Linked DNA regions of Schizosaccharomyces pombe. The protein of the gene in region 1 interacts with the protein of each later gene in a biochemical or structural test. Each region holds a gene or a part of one and is shown in the gene's direction. Other genes may lie near its edges.

The links. The genes of interacting proteins can lie anywhere in the genome.
Region 2: the proteins of mis13 (region 1) and csm1 form a complex in vitro, tested with the Schizosaccharomyces pombe proteins (2 studies listed by BioGRID, with this or other methods).

The regions. Positions count from the first base shown.
Region 1 is NC_003423.3:1,153,875-1,157,631, reverse strand, and holds mis13 (MIS12/MIND complex Mis13/Dsn1), read left to right. Parts: upstream 1-2,010; 5' UTR 2,011-2,030; coding exon 2,031-3,020; 3' UTR 3,021-3,328; downstream 3,329-3,757. Other genes in the region: ade7 (phosphoribosylaminoimidazolesuccinocarboxamide synthase), read right to left, coding at 1-514. UniProt on the Schizosaccharomyces pombe protein: Acts as a component of the NMS (Ndc80-MIND-Spc7) super complex which has a role in kinetochore function during late meiotic prophase and throughout the mitotic cell cycle.
Region 2 is NC_003424.3:5,283,953-5,287,709, forward strand, and holds csm1 (microtubule-site clamp monopolin complex subunit Csm1/Pcs1), read left to right. Parts: upstream 1-2,157; 5' UTR 2,158-2,177; coding exon 2,178-2,229; exon of another isoform or gene 2,230-2,268; coding exon 2,269-2,610; intron 2,611-2,656; coding exon 2,657-2,869; exon of another isoform or gene 2,870-2,924; coding exon 2,925-3,103; 3' UTR 3,104-3,338; downstream 3,339-3,757. Other genes in the region: Munc family exocytic/endocytic regulator Ync13, read right to left, coding at 1-1,618, 1,665-1,747; ubiquitin-conjugating enzyme Ubc13, read right to left, coding at 3,432-3,604, 3,662-3,746. UniProt on the Schizosaccharomyces pombe protein: The monopolin-like pcs1/mde4 complex is essential for accurate chromosome segregation during mitosis and meiosis II. May clamp together microtubule binding sites on the same kinetochore, preventing merotelic attachment of microtubules.

The DNA.
Region 1 (3,757 bases):
CTTCATCAGGATGAATGTTTTCATCATGGCCTTCGGCAGCTTTGGTGCTGGGGGTGAAAAGGGGTTCAGGGAAGGCCTCTGCCTCTTTCATTCCTGTAGGTACGTTAAGGCCATGAACAGTCCCTTGCTTTTGATATTCCTTCCAAGCACTTCCAGTGATATAGCCACGAACAATAGCTTCGATAGGAAGAATCTTGTATTTCTTAACGAGCATGGATCTATCCTTTAACTCTTCATGCTTCGTGATAACAGGAGGTAATTCTTCCCACCTAGAAGTAATCAAATGAGTTTGGACATGAGGTTTTAAAACATCAAACCAAAATTCTGAAATTTTTGTCAAAACCTTTCCCTTCTCAGGGATGCCGTTCTCCATGATAAAATCATAGGCGCTTATTCTGTCTGTTGCTACGAACAAAAGATCATCGGGAAATTCTACACACTCATACAGGTCTCTGACTTTGCCGGTAGCAATTTTAGTGAATGGAGCATCCAACGAAGTTTTTAATAATGCCATTTGAAATGAACTTGATGTAGAAATGAAGGTTTAAACTATTCCACTTGAAGACAATTAGCTTTTGGTATAAAAATAACAAAGTATTTAAAGAAAATCCGTGTGATCTCTTTTCATTTCGTTTTAATATGCTTCTTCTGTATGAGGTCTATATAGTATAACATAGAACATCGATTAAAAATTTCAGAGAAACAAAAGCAATTACAATTATCAAAAAGGATACTATTACATAACATACCACTTAGAATTGGCTCCAAAAAACCCTGGTTTCAATGAATCCAGTTAACTCTAACTTTCGATGTAGTAGAAAGGAAAGATACAAGAGAGATGAGACAGATCGTCGTAGATCTTGGCAATACACTGAGACAGATTAAGAACAGATAATCAGTAAAGATTCTTTTCAATTATAAAGAATTTAAAAATTCCGAAATAAATTCGTATTTGAGGATGATGGCAACCTAAGTAAGTGCTCGAAAAGTAAGTTGTACAGGACATGCTGTGGTTATAAATTCCATGTTTAATTAAAATAAATAAAACAAATAAATTAATAATTATAATAAGAAAACTATTACTTCACTTAAGTTAAAAAGAGCTTTAAACACCGACTACTGTTGCCTTTTTGACTGCAGAATATTTTGAAACAACTTTATATAGGAAGTGTTTTAAGAGTAGGATAATTCAAACTTTTAATTCTTAAAACTATACTGGATCCTTAAAGTTCTGGCTTGTCTGCAAAGCCATGTAATCTAAAATTGGGTACTTTCTGTAAATAATATGCAGCGATTTAAAATCAACAATAACCAGCTAAGTCTGAAAATTACTACAATTTAGATTTTGTACATATAGAATACTCGAATATTTTTCATTATACTTATATTTGATTATTCATCTTATTTATCGTCGCTATATTTTTCAACAATTATGATAAAGTACAAGCTCAATCCTGGCAGCTCATGGACATCTTGACTATTTGTCAAAAACTGTAAACAGTTTTAATGGTAATAATATCCACATTTTGTAATTTGCATAACTTTTCAGCTTAGCATTTCATGTCGCATTCCTCAATTATATATATATATATATATATATATTACATAAACAGTAAACTTGATATAGTATAAGAAGAGGTCTTATGAATTTATAAGGGGAATTAACCAACCATTCAATGGATTATGTTAAAATTATTATTCTTATTATTTTACAGCAGAAAAAAGGATATATATTTTTGTTTTTGCAAGTTCGAAGATAATCTAGCAATTAAACAAATATTTTATACCAAGTTGTAACAAGTGTATCTCCAAAAAGAAAGGAATACTTAACAGTAAAAAAGAATTTAATCATTATTTATTTTTTTATTTATTCTCTACATGAATATACTTTGCTTTGATGAATTTTCAATGCTCAATTGTAAGGCCGACTTATAACGCGCTCGCTATACTTTGTTAGGTTACCTAGTGTAAACAATGAGTAAGGTAGTCTTTGCAATCCTGACTCGACTTGACCCTAACCAGCATCCATTATGAAACGAAAGCCTGAAGAGCAGGAAGGATTTGTATTCGTTAGGAAGGGTAAAGAAAAAGCTGGTTCTAAAAGAAGGAAATCATCTGTGGAGGATGATCCAGATACCTCCCAAACCGATGGGTTAGTTGAGCTACCCGTGTCTGATACACCAATTGTGAAGCGAAACAAAGAACTTCGCAAGGGTAAAGGAAGAAGGAGTAGTCTTGACCAACGGGGTAAGCGTGCTAGTAGCATTGGTACTGGATTTGAAGCTTTACCACATGCAGATGTTCCATCGCATGAATACTATCGCCATATATCCAAAGACTTATCCGAACCTTTACGTATCAAACAACTTCTCCTTTGGGCTTCTTCAAAGGCCTTAGAAGAGCAAAGAAAAAAATACGGTGAAACGGAGGAAGCCAGTGAGGCAGCTATTGCTAGATCAATAGTTCAAGAAGTTCTTAACGAATTATTGGCTAATAAAGTTAGTGTTAGTTGGTATCAAAGACCACCTGATGCTGTAATTCCTAATAAACCTCATCCTCAAAATCTCAAAAATGCTCAGCTAGTGGACGAACTGTCGGCAAAGCTTACCCAACTCCATAATGAAGAAGCTGCATGGCGGGCTGTTGCTGCTAATTCCGTCAGTTCAGATAAATCAATTTTATCTTTTAAAAAAGCTGTAGAATCCATAGATTCTAAACAAGACCTTGATAAACAGGACTCTCCATTACCCCCAGATGATGCACCAGAACTTCCTAATATAAGTAAGCTGAAACCAAAATTCCACACTCTCCTGGACATGCTTGCTGAAAATATTCATACCTTGCATTCTTTGACTAACGCTGGACCTGAAGTCCGATCATCATATGGTCGCCTTGCTGCCCAGGATTTCATAGCCCATCGTAAAAGTTTGTTGTCCTTCTCCAAATATGTGGATACTATGAATTTATTAAGGCTTTTATCAGAAGCTTCCTATAAATCTTCCTCAAACGAATCAGTTTAAAATTGGATTAATCTGATACTGTTATGCCCAAATTTTTACTTATTTTTACGTTAATTTTATGTCTTTTTGCGTGCCATTGCTGCTAATTAACTAATAATGAAGGTGTGCAAACCAGCTGGACTGTGTTTGAAAATTCATGTTATACGTTATTTCAAAGGAACTCCTATAGTAGTAGCGCGCACTCACATTACTATCTACACTCAATGTACGATACATAACTGCTACTATTCACCCAATATTTAGAATTTATCAAAGGTTTCATAGTTAATTAATTTGAAATATTTGAGAAATAAATAGCTTTATCTCTAAAGTCTATATTCTATAATTAAATTTTAAAAAGCGAGAGCAGACATCGTCGCAGGTTTCGAAACATGTAACGTGTAATTAACAATAGCTTTATGATAACCAGAATACACGTGGTAAATTCCGTCATAATAGTAACGTAAAACTTTCAAACACAAAACCGCATACATGAAATTAAAAAAAAACCACGATTTCTATGAAGCTTGGACATTATTTAAATATTAAGGCAGCTTCTCAAACGCAACGGTGCACCAATATTGGAGACAAATTCAAGAAATCCCAAACCCAAACTGAAACTGTGGGGACATGAGCTAAAGAATTTTAAAAAATTTTAGCAATGGATAGGTGGAAGCATGCTTAAGGAACATATCTAAGTTCACTTATGGAATGATCCCTGAGGCGAAAAAAGCAAAGCAGCAAATTCTGACCGCTTT
Region 2 (3,757 bases), on another chromosome or scaffold:
TATGTAATTAGGAAGAACAATATTTATAAAGATTTGTGGAAGTGACAAAACTCCGTAAATACATTCGGAACAATTCCTTTCCAAGAATTTAATTCGTACAGATATCCTGTTACTGGCTAATATGATTTCGTCAAGAAAATTAGAAGAGGGTAATTTCGAAAGATCAAATTCCTCATCAAATATTACTTTACAATGCTCTTGGAGAGCCAATGCAACAGAAGAGATCTCACTTTTCGGAGACAAATCTTGATTGATCACCTTACCATCTTCAACACATATGCTCATTATATTTAACCAACGATGAAAATCAGCCTTTTTTTCGTGCAACAAATCTAAAAGTGATTTCTTTAAAAGTTGAGCTAATGCATTTCTGATTCCAAACAATGCAGAACTAAAAATTGAAACATCGATCTTTGGCCAATATGTTATCTCCCATTCTTTGAGTGACTTATGAAGCTCACCGAAATGTGTCAAAACGTCTGCTGAAGTTATCAACCCTTTTTGTAAATGTTCGCGTGCAAAATCCATACTCAAAGCACAGCGAGTGGATGGCAATATTCTCCAGTAAATGGAGCACTCCCTTATAAATGTGTTTATTTGCTTGACTTCAACAGGATCTGTAACTTGTAATCTGTATTCAAGACATAGCGATAGAAGTTGCCGAAAGTAAGGCCGCGCTATTGGCGGCACGTATGTCGGCGTTTTTCTACTGGCAGGAAAACCAATCGGTTGAATAGGGTGATTTGGTGATGAAGAAAGAGGAATCAAACTTAACATGATTTTACGATGTTGTTCTAGTGTTTGAAGTTCACGAGCTTTCCAAGTGGAGTATGATTTATAATTAGAAAAATCGACCACCGAATGCGAAAATTTACAAGCATCACTTTCTAAATCCTCAATTAAAATGCCAATATCTTCAGCTATGGCGGCCTCATCTATTGAGGGAAATAATTTTTCAGCATCCAACAATGCTTTTGAATAAGCAACCTTGAATACTGACGAAAAAACTTTTAACAAAGGAAAAGATGAAAGGTCAAATTGATCTTGTCCTCTATTAACGCGTTTTGTACTCAGTATTTCACTTTTGTTGAGAAGCTTTGAGTGATACATGTCAAGATGGGATACAAATTCAGATGATGGGGAAGCCAATTGGCCTTTAAGCGTGACTCTTTTGCATAACTCAATAAAGGAAGCAGTAATTCTGTCTGCTAAATTTGAATCGTAAGCTGTTCCCAAACGTTTAGTAAGTTCAGATGAAACAGAGCTGGCAAAAATCAAAAACATATCCTCAATTTTCCTCGAGTCTTTTAATTGCTTAGATATATGAGATTTGTTTATGTTATTGTAAAATGCTGCGAAACATCCTCTGATCAACTGATCTTGATATTCTGGCTCTTTTCCCATACTAATACTCTCAAGGGCAAGCGATAAATATTTTATAAAATCCTTGGGATATTTTGGATTATCTTTTTTTTCTTTGGCAGAAAATAGACTACCAGAAAATGCCCCATTGGTCTTTTTCTCAACTGGTGTACTAAATGATGATGTCTGCAGAGCTGAAGGGGTAGATGCACGATACTGTACTAAGAACAGGATTAACACATTCTTTAAAGTCCAGCTAAATACGTTGGTTAATTAAAATGAAAAGTAATGAAATAACAAACCTATAGAGCTCATCTTTACTTATAGACTCTGCAGCTTGAACTTCGTTCGAGTGTAAAGGAAGAGGTTTTCGTCTACAATTCATCCCATTTAGAAAATAAAATGAAGATATTTAATTTAGTTTCTTTGCAGGTTAAGCAACAGGATCGAAGGATATATAATAGCCTAGAGAATGTATTGAGTGGGAGAAATATGGTGAGATAGGCGGAGGTGTAATCGGAAATCTATGACAGAGAAGAATTAAAGAAACATGATTTTACTATGAAAGACTTGGTAGCTCATCTGTTAAAAATATTAAATTAGTAGGCAATAATGCAACTTGTATTTGGAATCAAGCTAACTGCATAATTTCTGCTTAATCCAAAGAATCCACCGTCTAAGACGGTCAAAATAAAGTGGCTTCAAGGACTATATTGAAAGAAATATAAAACAGTTATTATGATATATTTTAGATTTATTTAATGTATTTGCACACCAGGATCAATTATTAATGTTAACACTATCCACCACAAAGTATGAGAAAAAATAATATGCAAACATCTAAAGATAGTGAACTAAAAGAACAAGGTATATTTATTCTGTGTAGATTAAGCTGACATATCAAAGCTAAAGGAAAATCGTCCAAGCTTATTCATAAATTACCAAAACAGCGTACACGCATCTCTCAAGGACAAATGCATTCAACTCAGGATTTTGTTAATAATGAAGATCAAGATGCATATAGTGTAAGGGAGAACGAAAATGAACTTCATATCAATAATTCCGGGATGTCAGAGTTGAATAAGAAGTTGCAACTCCCTAACGTAGAGTTATCTACTCTTTCGCACACCCAAGAGCAGGAATTCAATGAACTGAACAAGCTGATACGAAAAATTAATGAACTACAAGAATTTTATTTACTTGAAGATTTGGCAAAACCTGTTACCAATGCTGGCGCTGACGCTGATGGTAAGACTAAGGCCTATTTCTGAATTTTTTACTTACATTCAAGAAGACACAATAGTCAAAGATTTAAAAAAAGAACTAGAAAATGAAAAGAAAGCTAACCATTCGTTAAAGAATGAGTTATTGAAAACTCGAGAGCAAATAAAAAACTATTCAAAAATTAATATACTTATAAAGGAGCTTTTCGGATTAGAAGTTGCAGACTGTATAGAGGACGAGGATGGATATCGTTTCAACTGTAAAAACACTGGAAGGAGAGGGAGTAAGTGCTTTAAGGGATTTAGAAATAATTTCAAGCTAACAGGATATTATTATAGCACTCGAATATCAGCTCTTGTTAGATGATCAAAACTTTACATTTACTCCACGTCTGAATGTTCAAACTGATGAGGAGCTTATGAAACATTTACCAGACTATTTGTTGGAGGAAATTATCTTTACGAAAGAACAAGGAAAATTATTTTCTGCTAGATTAATGAAAGCTTTGCAAGATTAACAATAATAACTATGGATTTTGCTTAAACTTTAATACTTCCTTGTTATATGAATAGCACTATATCTTAAATTAATTGTGCTCGTCGAGATATCACTTTTTTCATCGTCCGTCAAAAGCTGCGATGTTTGTATTCTGCTACCATAATTATCTATTATTAATTTTTACATCTTTTATTCGAAAAGACCTTAACCGCTTAGGAAAAAATTGAATGCAAAAAACTTAAGGAAATGGGTAGAATTCAAATCAAAGACTGTATATAGAAAGCTATTGATATCGTAATATATTATTATTCTAGTGATAACCATAAGCATTGGACTATCATAAGTAATCAAACTGCATACTTTTTCGTCCATTCACGGGCATTTGCAATTGCCTGTGGCTCATTTTCTTTCCAAATCTTTGCAACATCATTGTCTAAAGGGTCATCTGGGTTGGGAGCACCCATTAATGCCTGTATCGAAAGTAGCACGGTTCGAATTTGTAAAGCAGGACTCCAATCCTCTGATTTATTAATGTTAGTACACCAAAATAAGATGAAACGTGTGAAGTTTAACATACTTTTTAACGTAGATAAACATATGCGACCTAATTTATCAACGTTTGGATGATAAATTTTAGTAAGAAAACGAACATTGGGAGGCATCTAATAGTTGT